Schizosaccharomyces pombe: one gene and its partners. The protein of the gene in region 2 interacts with the protein of the main gene of each other region in a biochemical or structural test. Each region holds a gene or a part of one and is shown on either strand. Other genes may lie near its edges.

Region 1 (4,057 bases), on a different chromosome or scaffold from region 2:
GATGCTTATTATGAACGACAGTGGATGCAGGCGTTCCAGCGGAAAAATGTTGTTGCTGTAGCTGAGGAACTTCAAACAGCTCTTCGAATAATTGAACAATGGAAGCAACTTTAAATTACTTCTTCTGGATTCTTCTCTTATTTACTCCAGTCGTTTCTCCTTTTTTATTCTTTGCTTTTGTTCTTTGTTTTTATATTTTCATTTTCATTACTGTTGTTCTATGTTGTTCATTTTTTATTCACATATTTTCGGTTTCACGTTGTTTTTCATCTGTCGGTTTCACGAGGCATTTTGTCTTCGTAAACTACACTTTTATATTTGTTCTTATTTATTTAAGGTTGTTTCAATGTTCCGTCGTTTTGTTTCCTAATGAATTCCTCTTACACCGTTATGAGAAATTTCAGTCGATTTGTGCGGCAATTTCTACTCCTCTTATGCTGTCGTGCTTAATTAAGAGCATTAATTTTTCTAGGCTGTCTTGGACACATTATTAATGGTTTATATATACAATTTAACAAAAAAATTAGGTCGGTAATTTATTTATTTACAATAATAGAAATTCCTGCTTTTAAATGTTACTCATGTTTTCCGTGGATGTCAATCTTCAGAAAACTAGAAGCTCAGAATGTCAAGCTATTTTTGTTAAAACTAGGACCTAATAAGAAAACGCCCTAAATGGGCGAAACCAAATATATACGTCACGGGAGTCTAGTCATTAAGTCTGTTGCTATTGAAGTGTACTAGTGCATATTGAGTAAATAAGATCGTTGGTTACAAAAAGGTTGTATAAACATCAAGCATAAGTAAATAGCCCATCAAAAGAAAAAGGAATCAAAAAGGCAAATAAAAGAAGGAATCGTACCGTCTTTTAACGATGGTCGGATTAAACAGAAAACGTAATCATTTAGCAAAGTTTGAAATTTATGAATCAAACTTCGTATAACTCAATTTACTAGCACATAAAAAGAAAGAAACAGAACATTAAACATAAATATACTCTAAGTAGTTCTAGGACCCAATTTGTCTAGTGCACGTACTCCATACTCCTCCCATTCTGCCTTGGACACCCACATGTGATCGTTTTGAGCCATGATATCTGCCAATACGGCGCCGCCGATAAACACGGCATGACGGCGACGAGGAGCGTCTTCAATCTTAACCTTAAAGTTAGGCAAACGTGCGGGATCTCCATGAAGAACACGCTCAAACCATAACTGTTTTATTTCCTTTTCAAGACGTGAAGGAAGACCGGCATACATACTGCTACCACCTGAGAGAACAATGGCGCGATACAAATACTTGCGAATGTCCACATCAGCTGCTTGGATAGTGTCAAAAATAAATTCACTCAAACCTGGTTGTTCACTACCAACCAGATGAGGTTGAAATAGACATTCTGGACATTCATAACGCTCAGAACCAACTTTAATAACTCTTCCATCAGGAAGGGTGTAATTACGCATTAAAACGGTAGTTTCTTCGCTAAGCTTATGGTCCAATTCCAAATCATAACTAACGTAACAAAGTTTTTCTTTCATCTCGCGAACAGTTTCAAAGTCTGCTGTACGATTGAAAGCATAACCCTTACGAAGAAGTAAGCTAATCAAATAGCGGGTAGCATCCCTACCGGCAACGTCAAGGCGACCAACTAAATGATTTAAAACAACACTTTCATAGACAGGCACAATATGGGTTACACCGTCACCAGAATCAACAACTACACCACTGCTTAATCCCTGTGCGTATAAAGAGAGAACGGCCTGAATGGCGACATAAACACCACCAAAACCATACCGTTCAAACATTGTCTCACACATTTTTTCGCGGTTAGCAACAGGATTCATAGGGGGCTCGGTCAACAAAATTTTCCTACCCCTCGGATCAATTTTTAGTTTTTCAAAGAAAGTGTAATCCCAAAGTTGATTCATCTCTTCAAAATCACGGATAATGCCATTTTCCATGGGATATTTTACTTGAAGTAAAGATCTCACCGCCTCAGCTTCATCACCGACCATAACATCTTTAATTTGAACATTTCCTGTTTTCTCTTCAGCACGTAAAATGGGCCTTCCTACGATGGATGGGAATTGAAAGCGCGGAAAATTGTCTTTAGCATATCCGACCTTGCTAACGTTAGTCACAGTGTAAACAAAGATTTAATTAAACTGATTACCTTCACAAAACCAGTTCCATTATCTAGAACAATGGGAGCAGACTCCATTTTATAAACGTCTCGTGTAGTTGGTGAAAGGTTAGTTCTTAAGTCCACCCCTATGTAATGTACCGGCGGTAACTATCTGCCATATACCGTATGACACAGCAGCACTGCAACTGTAGCAGAGCATTCGGTGATATATCGTAAATATGTAATATCGTAGGAAAGCGAAGTGCAGTAATCTTGAGAATTATAAAACAGAAATGAAGTATCTAAATTAATTTAACAATTGGCTGCAAAAAGAATAGCTCAAAGGTTTTTACGGTTAATGATCTTATCTTCTATTGTACTTAGCATTAGTATCGTTACCCCTTATACTCAAAGCCATAACTGTGCATTTATAATTGTTCGGCAGTAATGTATATTATCGCTTATTAGTTAAAAGATTCTTCGTTTCACATAGTATTACTATTATTTAAAAGAAAAACACGGACTCTATTTGTTTGTTTAATGTGCAGGTAACACTTCGATCGTTTATTATGAGATTGGTATGACTAGGAGCGCTGTGCAAAAATGAAGAATCGCGGAACCGATTTAATAAAGAATTTATTTCTCTAGTAACTAGATGTGTGCATTAAATTGAATACAAGACTTAAACAAAAGAATTATAATTATCGACATATACCATTATTGAATATTTGTCATCTGTTTACTGAAATAAGTGGAGCAATGCAATTTGAGAATAACACATATCGGTTTAAAGATCCTTATTATATTGCTATTACTAAATTAAGGAGTGTAACGTTTCGCAGCTAAAACATTTCGATACAATATTTGATAAAAATAAATGGAGGATAAATACATTTTATTGTCAGCAGGTTGGTTATAATTTTTATTTAATAGCTCAATACTTACGTGTATATAGTGGAAACGTTTAAATCACGTCTGGAAGAACTGCTAATGCAATCGGCCAAAGTACAAAAGCAAACGATGCTTAGAAAGGAATTAGCTTCTTCGATGAATGATATGGCTTCTACGGTACAAGAAGCTTTAAATAAAAAAAAAAGTTCGTAAGGTAAGCACTTGGAGACTCAAAACATTATAGTTCATTATAGATTACGAAGGCAGTTCATTCACTATTGTTTTAATAAGTGTTTGTGAAGTACGACTTGAAGTTTTCATGATAATAAGTTATTATAATCATATAATTTCATTGATGTTTATAGTAAACAATTGTTCATGAAGCGAAAAAAAAAAAACCATTAGAAAACTTCCCTCTGAGCAAATTATGATTACAAGCCTATCGTAAAAAAACCGTCTATGTTATTTGGGACTGTTATTGAGCCAGTATTAGGAATTATCAAAAAAGATACATTCAGGCGTAAGTTACGTCCACTTTTTAGTTTCAGATTCATCAGAAATCGAATAATCGTCACTGGGAGTATGTTTGATATCAAACGTTCTATCAACTCTAATCGAAACCTCGGTGGTTTCTCCTTGCGCAGATGAAGTTTTCATGCTTTGCAATTTCAGAGCTGTACTAGACGCCCATAAACTCGAAAGAGGAAGAGAAATGATTAGCAGACATTGAGTCATAGAGCTAAAGCCATCATACGTATGGATAAAACTATCTATTATAGTAAAGGTAGCTGGAACAATAAGACATTGGCAGCTAATAACTAAAATACACTGCATCGGACCAAATGGAAATTGCCCAATTTTTTTCCGTATTAATATGGCACGAAAGAGTTTGTATGAAAAAACACCACTGTGAAAAATAATGCTAAAAGCAAAAAGTATTTTAGCAATAAAGTAGGGCCAAGAGTATCCAACAATGGTCTTGCTGCTAAGTGGAGTTAACCATAACAGATACTGAATCTGTTGACACATGTTAGTAATCCA
Region 2 (4,057 bases):
ATGAAATGACCAAACTATCAGAAGAAATCACTACTGTCAAAAATTTGCATGTTACAGCCTATGTAGGTGATTCAGAATCGAAGGATGTAGCTTTACTCTATAATGTTTGTGAAGGAGCTAGTGATCGGAGTTTTGGAATCCATGTTGCTAAACTTGCGCACTTCCCTCCCAAGATTATTGAAATGGCAAGCAACAAAGCCGCAGAATTAGAAGCTGAAGACTCTGGAGCCCAAGGGGATACTCAAGAAGTGAAATCTAAAAAAGAAGGTATGGCAATTGTACGTGATATAATGAGACAATGGCGTAGCAACGTCAAACCAGAAATGACTCAGCAACAAATGATGGACCAATTTCAAAAAGTCATCGGCTCATTCGCACAGCAAATCAATTCCAACAACTGGCTACAATCCAGGGTATCCACAAATGAGGTTTCCTCATGAAGAATGTGAGCAAGGTACTAATTGAAAGAATTCAACCAAGGTACATGTTTTTTGGAAGCGCATTTTATGAATAAAATAATTTTTTACTAAAACGAGGAAAAGCCATAGATCAATGAATTTTATAACCCAAAACTGTTTCATTTGCCATAATAACCAAATAAAAAGATATAAATGGGAAACGAACCACTAGTTTTCCAATTAATCACAGCTTGCACAACCATTACAACCTATTTTCATTAGCAACTGGTAGCAATAGCACTTCTTTACTTACCACAATGAGTACATCTCACACGTTGATCTTTATCAAGTTTTGATTTAGGTACACGACATATACACGTTGAACCAAATTTTGACTCAGCGGTTTGAATACAGCGCAGACAACAAAGTTTCTCGTATCCTGGTTTTTTCCATTTGGCGATTAAATTTCCATCGGCATAATTTTGTTTTAGCAGCCAGTTGTAAAGTTCGGTAGATATGGCTTCCCGTTTGTAGTATAAATCGTATATATAACGACTGCGCTGATGATGAAGTTGAAAAATCGGTGCTAGCATTTCCGTCTTAGTTCCCTTTCCCATTGTATTCTCAATTTGACGCATACGATCTTGGAATTCAATAAGGGTGGGTTCTATTTCATCAAATCCGTCAGGAGGGCTATAGCTAATTAGAATCTTACTTCGTAGGTAAAAATAAAGGTAACAAGGAAAATACTTGGTATACATACCGCTTGGTTCTTGACGTTCGAAGACGAGGCATGATAACAGAATATTTTTTAAGCAAACTACGACTTTTCTTCAATAAACCAACACAGAATAAGGAATGCTTGCTTTAAAGAGATTAAATATAAAGAAACCGATAAAATGAAATCTAGTGATGGGTAGTTTTTATCCTTTTACTTATTTGGTGGTAGTGTACTTATGGGCAAGTTGGATTTGTGAGAATCCAGTGTAAATTCCTTGTAAAATAGACTGCCGCGATTGAAACTGTTGCAAGATATTCTTAACTATAGAAACTAAGTTTTTTCTCCGTTAATTAAATTATAGCCTCTTCAATTGAGGATAATTGAGAATTTTTGAATTTGTGTCTCCACTATATTTTATACCTTAACATATGGCCAAAAGGGAACCAGATGCATTTGTATACTATAATACTACAATACTGTTTTCATGGTATAACATTGACGCTCTGTTGTGTTGACTACTAATCATATATTAAAGTTGATTATCGATGGATATTAGCGAGAATTTTGTCTATTGAATACTAGGCTCGATAATGAGAAAGCGGCAATTAAACCTTCCCTAACCTCCACATGGAGTTCACGGATGTGTTTTATAATTTAGAGAATGAAAAGCAATTTTTGGCGGGTATGCAATTTATTCATAATTGTAAACTTGAATGTGCCTGGGATTCATTATCCTGGCTAAATAGTATTCCCGTTGACGCTAACATTTGGTGACAGAAATTGACGAACTTTTAACTATACCATACGAAAAAAATGAACTGGAAATTGGTGTTTCAAAGTTTCTTTCTTTTATCAACAAATATGGAGGTAATGTTTTGGAGAATTGGGGAAGCACAATTTTCCGTGTTTTTCCTATGGATGAAATACAAAGAAATTGAGTGTTTGTCTCTTTATAGAACATCTTATCTAACAAAATAAATTCAATAGAACCGTACCTAATTACAGAATTCCAATTGCAGAGATGTATGGAAAAGTTCCTCAATAGTCCGCTTTATCAACTAGACGAAAACGCCGTTTTAAGTATTTTCTATGATTGCTTTTTTTTCTTGAAAGAACAACAAACTTTGAAATTCATAATCATTGTCTTTCAATCCGAAATTCAAGAGAATGAGTACTGCTTGCGTTTGTTGGCTTCTACGGGGTTCATTCCCGTCTTGATCAAGGCAATGAAACAGTTCAAGGATCGTTCAGAAAATGTTGCTTTTACATCTTTTCGTTATGCTTTATTCTTAGTGTACTATATTTGTCGCTCGAGACGACTTTCACCGACCGACTTAGTCGCAATTGATGAATATTTTTTAGTAAACCTATTCAAAACGTCGGAAGAAGCTTGGAATGATGAGGACATGGACAGTTTTGGAATGTGCGTCTTGACATTGCTTAGCATCAATGAACAGTTTATGCTTGTTCGGCTTGCTTCCAAAGGTTCGTTTGAAATCGCAAATGGCATAATGGATTTGCTGAGCTCTTCCAAAGTGGATAACGGTATCTACAGTGAAGGCCTAGTTTTCACTCTAAATCGAGAAAAGGATCCACGCTCTCGAATGTTAATACTAAAACAACTATTCCTTCTTTTTACAACTCCCGCTACGTATGAGATATTCTATACCAATGATCTCAATGTCCTAATTGATATATTCATACGCGAAATAAACAATATTCCCGATGAGCTTTCGGATCTTCGGTATGCATATTTGCAAGTTTTGATTCCTTTGCTTGAAAATACACAGGTGCGCCATCCACCTCATTACAAAACTAAGTGTATAGTCGACGCGGTCAATAATGTCTTAATTTCTCACTCAAAAAGCAGCAACATGGAAGATGCACGTACTACAGATGTTGCCATACGTGTTTTAGAAGTACCGTGGCTTCAACAAGAGATGAAGTCATTAGGAACCGCTCAATAATTTTTATTCTACTACTGAAAAACTTTTTATTTTTTTAAAGCACCTCACTCGTTTCCTTCATTTATTGTCAGATCAACCAAAAAGAATTGCAAATTTTAACCAATCTCCTTTCCACTCTTTTTTTTAATACTTTCTCTCTCCTTTTGCCAGTCTGTTGTTTTTTGAAAAGCCAGTTTTGGCGTATTACTTCTTGCAGAAAATTGATAAAACTTGGAGAAATTTCTTTGGAATGCAAAGAAAATGCTAAAAGTTTAAACACTGCAATTTTCATATCAATGAATAGAAAATCTCTAGTTAGACATATCCATTGCAAAAGAAGAAGTGAAGAAAATTTTTAAATAACAAACGTGAAGAATGGCATAAACTAATATAGGAATGCTTAATTAATAATACCCCTATCAATCATCTAACATTTTCTGTAACTTTCGGTGATCGTAAATGTGCAAGTTAGACAACGTAATTTAGATTCATCGTCGTCTTTGAAAAAATAGGTGATTATTCGTAAACACAAAACTTTCTTTTGAAAGGGTTCAGTTAAAAATTTCACCATCAAAAATGAAAGAACAGAGTAAACAGAGGAAGGGCAGGAAAAAAAAAATACCGCTTTGTTTGATTTGCCAAAGTTGAAGATGAGTAATAAGTACTTAAGCATAAAAATGAAAACATATTAGGATGGGGGAAACCTAGATGCAATGAGATTGTATGAGAGTATTCAGGAACAGCTAATTCAACTTTTTTGCGCCTTGAGCCTCGAGTTTTTTGATAGCTTCTTGTTGCTGATGCTGTTGAACTCGAAACTTTAGAAAGTAATTGACCTAATCCAGAAAAACAATGTTAGTGAGAAAGAAAAAAAGAAGTAATGGAGATCTTTAAGGTAATAATTCAAGAGAATTGCAAAATCGGAATTTCTCGTTTCATTTCATACCAGCCAGATTTCATTTACAATTTTGGCGATTCATACCCAAGATTTT
Region 3 (4,336 bases), on a different chromosome or scaffold from region 2:
AATTTGATTCCCAAAAAAACTCAGAATTAGTTTCTGATTTATACTTAAAAGATCTATGGTCTTGGATTCACTTAAGCCATAGACAATCAGAAGAATCACTGTTTGGAGACACAGGAGATACAGATTTCAGCTATCAAGGTGCACTAGGTATTTGGTTTATGGATACTGAATTGACTAGCATGTCCGATGTTTTTGAAGCAAAAGAAAGCAAATTTTTAGAAAAAAAAATTTTAAGACTTGCTAGAGATGTTATTGAGAGACTTGATTTAGATATATTTACGTCTATCCAAACTAAAAGGCCTTTACGCCAACTCGCTTTACTTGCCTGTGGATTAGGAATGTCAAATGATGACTTGTTGTTGGAAATTAGAAGACTGATTCGCAAGAATGAGCATGTAAAAGCCGCTGGGTTAGCACTTTTCCACGGAAAAATTGAAAACGTAGTCCGTATATTATCAAGTGGGAATGAGCTGGAGAAGACCATATCCACAGCAGTTGCCGGATACATTACATCGCAAGGCTTAAGTAACTTTGGAAGTGACTCATTGTGGAAAGAAATGTCTCGTAACTTAAGTACAGAATTGGAAGATCCATACTTACGTGCAATATTTGCGTATGTTTCCAACTCCGATTGGAGAGATGTATTAGATGAAGTTTCTCTCTCATTAAAAGATCGTCTTGGAATTGCTCTTCGCTTTTTACCAGATGACGATTTGAGTAATTATTTGTGCGATTTATGTCACACTACAGTGCAATCAGGCGACCCAGAAGGCCTGTTACTTACAGGTTTAACTCCTTTGGGAATGGAACTTCTGCAGAACTACATTGATCATACAAGCGATGTTCAAACTGCTGCATTGATTGCTGCATTTGTGGTACCTAAGAAATTTCTGGATAAACGTGCAGAGGATTGGACTGAAAGTTATAGAGAGCTTCTAAACCGCTGGAAACTTTACCGTGAGCGTGCAAAGTTTGATATCTTTCGGACAGAACTCTCAAAAAATCACACAGGAGAAATAACCAGAAAGGCTACAGAGCCATCTATACGCATTATCTGCAATTTTTGTAGAAAACCAATTTTTCCTTTCTCCAATAGGAATGAATGTAATAATTTACCAACGCCAATTCAACGAGGTGTCAGTAAAGCAGGCCCAGCAAAACACTTGGGAAAAAGTTGTCCTCATTGCGGACAGCCTCTTCCAAAGTGCTCTGTATGTGGGTTTTCTTTAGGAGATGAAGATGTTCCTCAGAAAGATGACTTTTCTCAAAAACCTCAAAACTATGTCAAAGAAGTTAATCTTCAGAAATCTAGATTTGGGTTATGGTTTAGCTTTTGTCTAAATTGTGGCCATGGAGCTCACGCATCTCATGCTTCAGAATGGTTTTCAACTCATACAATATGTCCGGTTCCTAACTGTGATTGTGAATGCAAACTGAAATAGAAATTGCAAATGAGAGCATTAATTAATAGCATTAAAATAACAGTTTATGGTTTGGTTCACAAGTAATAATTGCTACATGAGTGAATATAAAATCCATGATTACAGCTTAAAAATGTTTAAGGCTAAGAGGTTTAAAGCATAAGGTCTTTAATACTATGATTTGTTTAAAAATTCGACATAGCTATCTACATTTGTAATTGTTTGATAATACCAACGTGGTTAGTTTTATTACTGAAAAGGGATTAACGCAAGATCGTTAATATTTAATTTTCTAGTAGCAAGAAGCGTCTTCTAGCTTAGCAACTTGGTAATTTTAACCGGTGGTACTGGTATTGAAGAAATACATATTTAATTTTTTGTGTAAATTAATTTGGCCTTAGTAAAGATATCCAAAGTGGGTTGTATACGGGCATTCGCATTTAACGTAATCGGCTCATCTCGTAAATTACCATATGTTTCCCGTTAACCCACGTAATTCGACATCGGTGACCGTTGCGAGACGATATTAAGAGTTTCAACTGGAACCAACTTCTCTTTCGCTTACCTTTTCATAAAATAATAGCAATGGCTTCGTTTAATGTTCCCATTATAATGGACAAGTAAGTATTGATGTAGCGAAGTTAAATTGTTCGTGAATATCAGTTACTAACTTTATTTGTTAGCGGTACCGGCTATAGCAAGCTTGGGTATGTGTAATAGTCGTTTTAGGATGTTATTATCTCTCTTTTGAGCATTTATTAACAGTAATTTAATTTCAGCTATGCTGGGAACGATGCTCCTTCTTATGTATTCCCCACTGTTATTGCGACGCGTTCTGCGGGTGCTTCTTCAGGGCCGGCTGTTTCATCAAAGCCTTCTTACATGGCCTCGAAAGGCAGTGGGCATCTCTCAAGCAAAAGGGCAACTGAGGACTTGGACTTTTTTATTGGAAACGATGCATTGAAAAAGGCGTCTGCTGGATATTCTTTGGACTATCCTATCCGTCATGGACAAATAGAAAATTGGGACCATATGGAGCGTTTTTGGCAACAGTCTCTCTTTAAATATTTACGTTGTGAACCAGAGGACCATTATTTTCTTTTGACCGAACCTCCTTTGAATCCACCTGAAAACCGTGAAAATACTGCAGAGATTATGTTTGAGTCGTTCAACTGTGCAGGACTCTACATTGCTGTTCAAGCGGTTTTGGCTCTTGCCGCCTCTTGGACATCTTCAAAAGTTACTGATCGTTCGTTGACCGGTACTGTTGTTGACTCTGGTGATGGCGTTACTCATATTATTCCTGTTGTATGTATAAAAAATCTAATACGAGCTTAGATAAACAGTTTTGAACATTAAATGCATATATATATGCCCGAATTTTACTAACTGATAAACCTTAGGCCGAAGGATATGTTATCGGCTCTTCCATTAAGACAATGCCACTTGCTGGTCGTGATGTTACGTACTTTGTTCAATCCTTATTACGTGACCGCAATGAACCTGATTCAAGTCTCAAAACTGCTGAAAGAATTAAAGAGGAATGTTGCTACGTTTGTCCGGACATTGTTAAGGAGTTTAGTAGATTTGATCGTGAGCCCGACCGTTATTTAAAATATGCATCTGAATCAATTACTGGACACTCTACTACTATTGATGTAGGATTTGAACGCTTCCTCGCACCTGAAATATTTTTTAATCCTGAGATTGCTTCTTCCGATTTTTTGACCCCTCTTCCGGAACTTGTGGACAACGTCGTACAGAGCTCACCCATTGACGTTCGTAAAGGCCTTTATAAAAACATTGTCCTTTCTGGTGGTAGTACTTTGTTTAAGAACTTTGGCAACCGCTTACAAAGAGATCTCAAGCGGATTGTTGACGAGCGTATTCACCGCAGTGAAATGCTCTCCGGTGCTAAAAGTGGTGGTGTAGACGTTAATGTTATCTCCCATAAACGTCAACGAAATGCGGTTTGGTTTGGCGGCAGTTTACTAGCACAAACGGTATGTCATTATCTTATGTTTGTATATTTTTTAGTTTACCCGTAGAGATTTACTGACATGTTTAGCCTGAATTCGGATCCTATTGCCATACCAAAGCAGATTACGAAGAATATGGTGCTTCCATTGCTCGTAGGTACCAAATTTTTGGAAATTCTCTTTAATGAAATATATCATGAGTTTTGCGTCTATAGGATTTACTGATTAAAATGAAAAGTTTAATGGAGCAGGCATTAGCCTTAGAAGAAATAGACTTGAGGTTTGCTATGTTTCCAGGCTTTTTCATTGAGCAATATCAAATAAGATGTATATAATTAACTTGTCCAAATAATAATGATGAGAACCATGAGAATAATAATATAGTGATTACTAATAACGTAAAAGGAGAAAAAAAAAGAAAACGGATGAAACCGATGGGTTCCGCCTGATAAATACTTTATTATTCAAGAACGATGGATAAAATGGAAAGTGTACAAGTACTCAACGAATTTGTTGAGAGAAAGCAGAAGCAATCAAGTAGTCATCATAAAAAAAACTAAACTTCATCATTTTGCGGAGCAGGTAATGATTCATAAGAAGGTGGGCGTTCAATTGCACCGGCAACAGATGGAACGTCGCCGACAAATTCACCATTTTCATCAAATATTGCGGGCGGGGGAGGTGTGCTTGTGGTGGGTAAAGTTTTCAAGTACTGCTGGTTAAGAGCAGTAATAGGTTCATAAAGAGGGAGGCAATCAGTCTGTCGAACATGATGTTCGAATTGTTGTGATGCTCCGGAAGAAGAGCGCTCTCTCCTGTGAATTGAGTGTTGTGTTCTCTGCTGTTCCCGTGCAGAAATTATGGTTCGACACGCTTTAATTCTTTCATGATGCAACATAAATATGACAAACACAACGCAGATTATCCCAAACGTTA

Evidence for each region. The genes of interacting proteins can lie anywhere in the genome.
Region 1: the proteins of dip1 (region 2) and arp2 form a complex in vitro, tested with the Schizosaccharomyces pombe proteins (one study listed by BioGRID).
Region 3: the proteins of dip1 (region 2) and arp3 form a complex in vitro, tested with the Schizosaccharomyces pombe proteins (2 studies listed by BioGRID).

Annotation. Positions count from the first base shown.
Region 1 is NC_003424.3:4,781,219-4,785,275, reverse strand, and holds arp2 (ARP2/3 actin-organizing complex actin-related protein subunit Arp2), read right to left. Parts: upstream 2,255-4,057; 5' UTR 2,222-2,254; coding exon 2,174-2,221; intron 2,150-2,173; exon of another isoform or gene 2,124-2,149; coding exon 999-2,123; 3' UTR 511-998; downstream 1-510. Other genes in the region: Golgi 4,6-pyruvylated galactose (PvGal) residue biosynthesis protein Pvg5, read left to right, coding at 1-114; protein Fta6, read left to right, coding at 3,003-3,033, 3,081-3,229; pheromone p-factor receptor Mam2, read right to left, coding at 3,542-4,057.
Region 2 is NC_003423.3:2,340,840-2,344,896, reverse strand, and holds dip1 (endocytosis protein Dip1), read left to right. Parts: upstream 1-1,726; 5' UTR 1,727-1,746; coding exon 1,747-1,801; intron 1,802-1,896; coding exon 1,897-1,986; intron 1,987-2,106; coding exon 2,107-3,086; 3' UTR 3,087-3,495; downstream 3,496-4,057. Other genes in the region: msh2 (DNA mismatch repair protein), read left to right, coding at 1-440; cwf14 (G10 protein), read right to left, coding at 639-667, 712-1,091, 1,162-1,193; coa6 (cytochrome c oxidase subunit VIb related protein), read right to left, coding at 3,809-3,901, 4,048-4,057.
Region 3 is NC_003424.3:348,471-352,806, forward strand, and holds arp3 (ARP2/3 actin-organizing complex actin-related protein subunit Arp3), read left to right. Parts: upstream 1-1,962; 5' UTR 1,963-2,006; coding exon 2,007-2,041; exon of another isoform or gene 2,042-2,104; coding exon 2,105-2,128; exon of another isoform or gene 2,129-2,200; coding exon 2,201-2,729; exon of another isoform or gene 2,730-2,824; coding exon 2,825-3,424; exon of another isoform or gene 3,425-3,489; coding exon 3,490-3,585; 3' UTR 3,586-3,826; downstream 3,827-4,336. Other genes in the region: GATOR2-SEACAT complex ubiquitin-protein ligase E3 subunit Sea4, read left to right, coding at 1-1,442; SPOM_SPAC630.04C (uncharacterized protein), read right to left, coding at 3,957-4,336. UniProt on the Schizosaccharomyces pombe protein: Functions as ATP-binding component of the Arp2/3 complex which is involved in regulation of actin polymerization and together with an activating nucleation-promoting factor (NPF) mediates the formation of branched actin networks.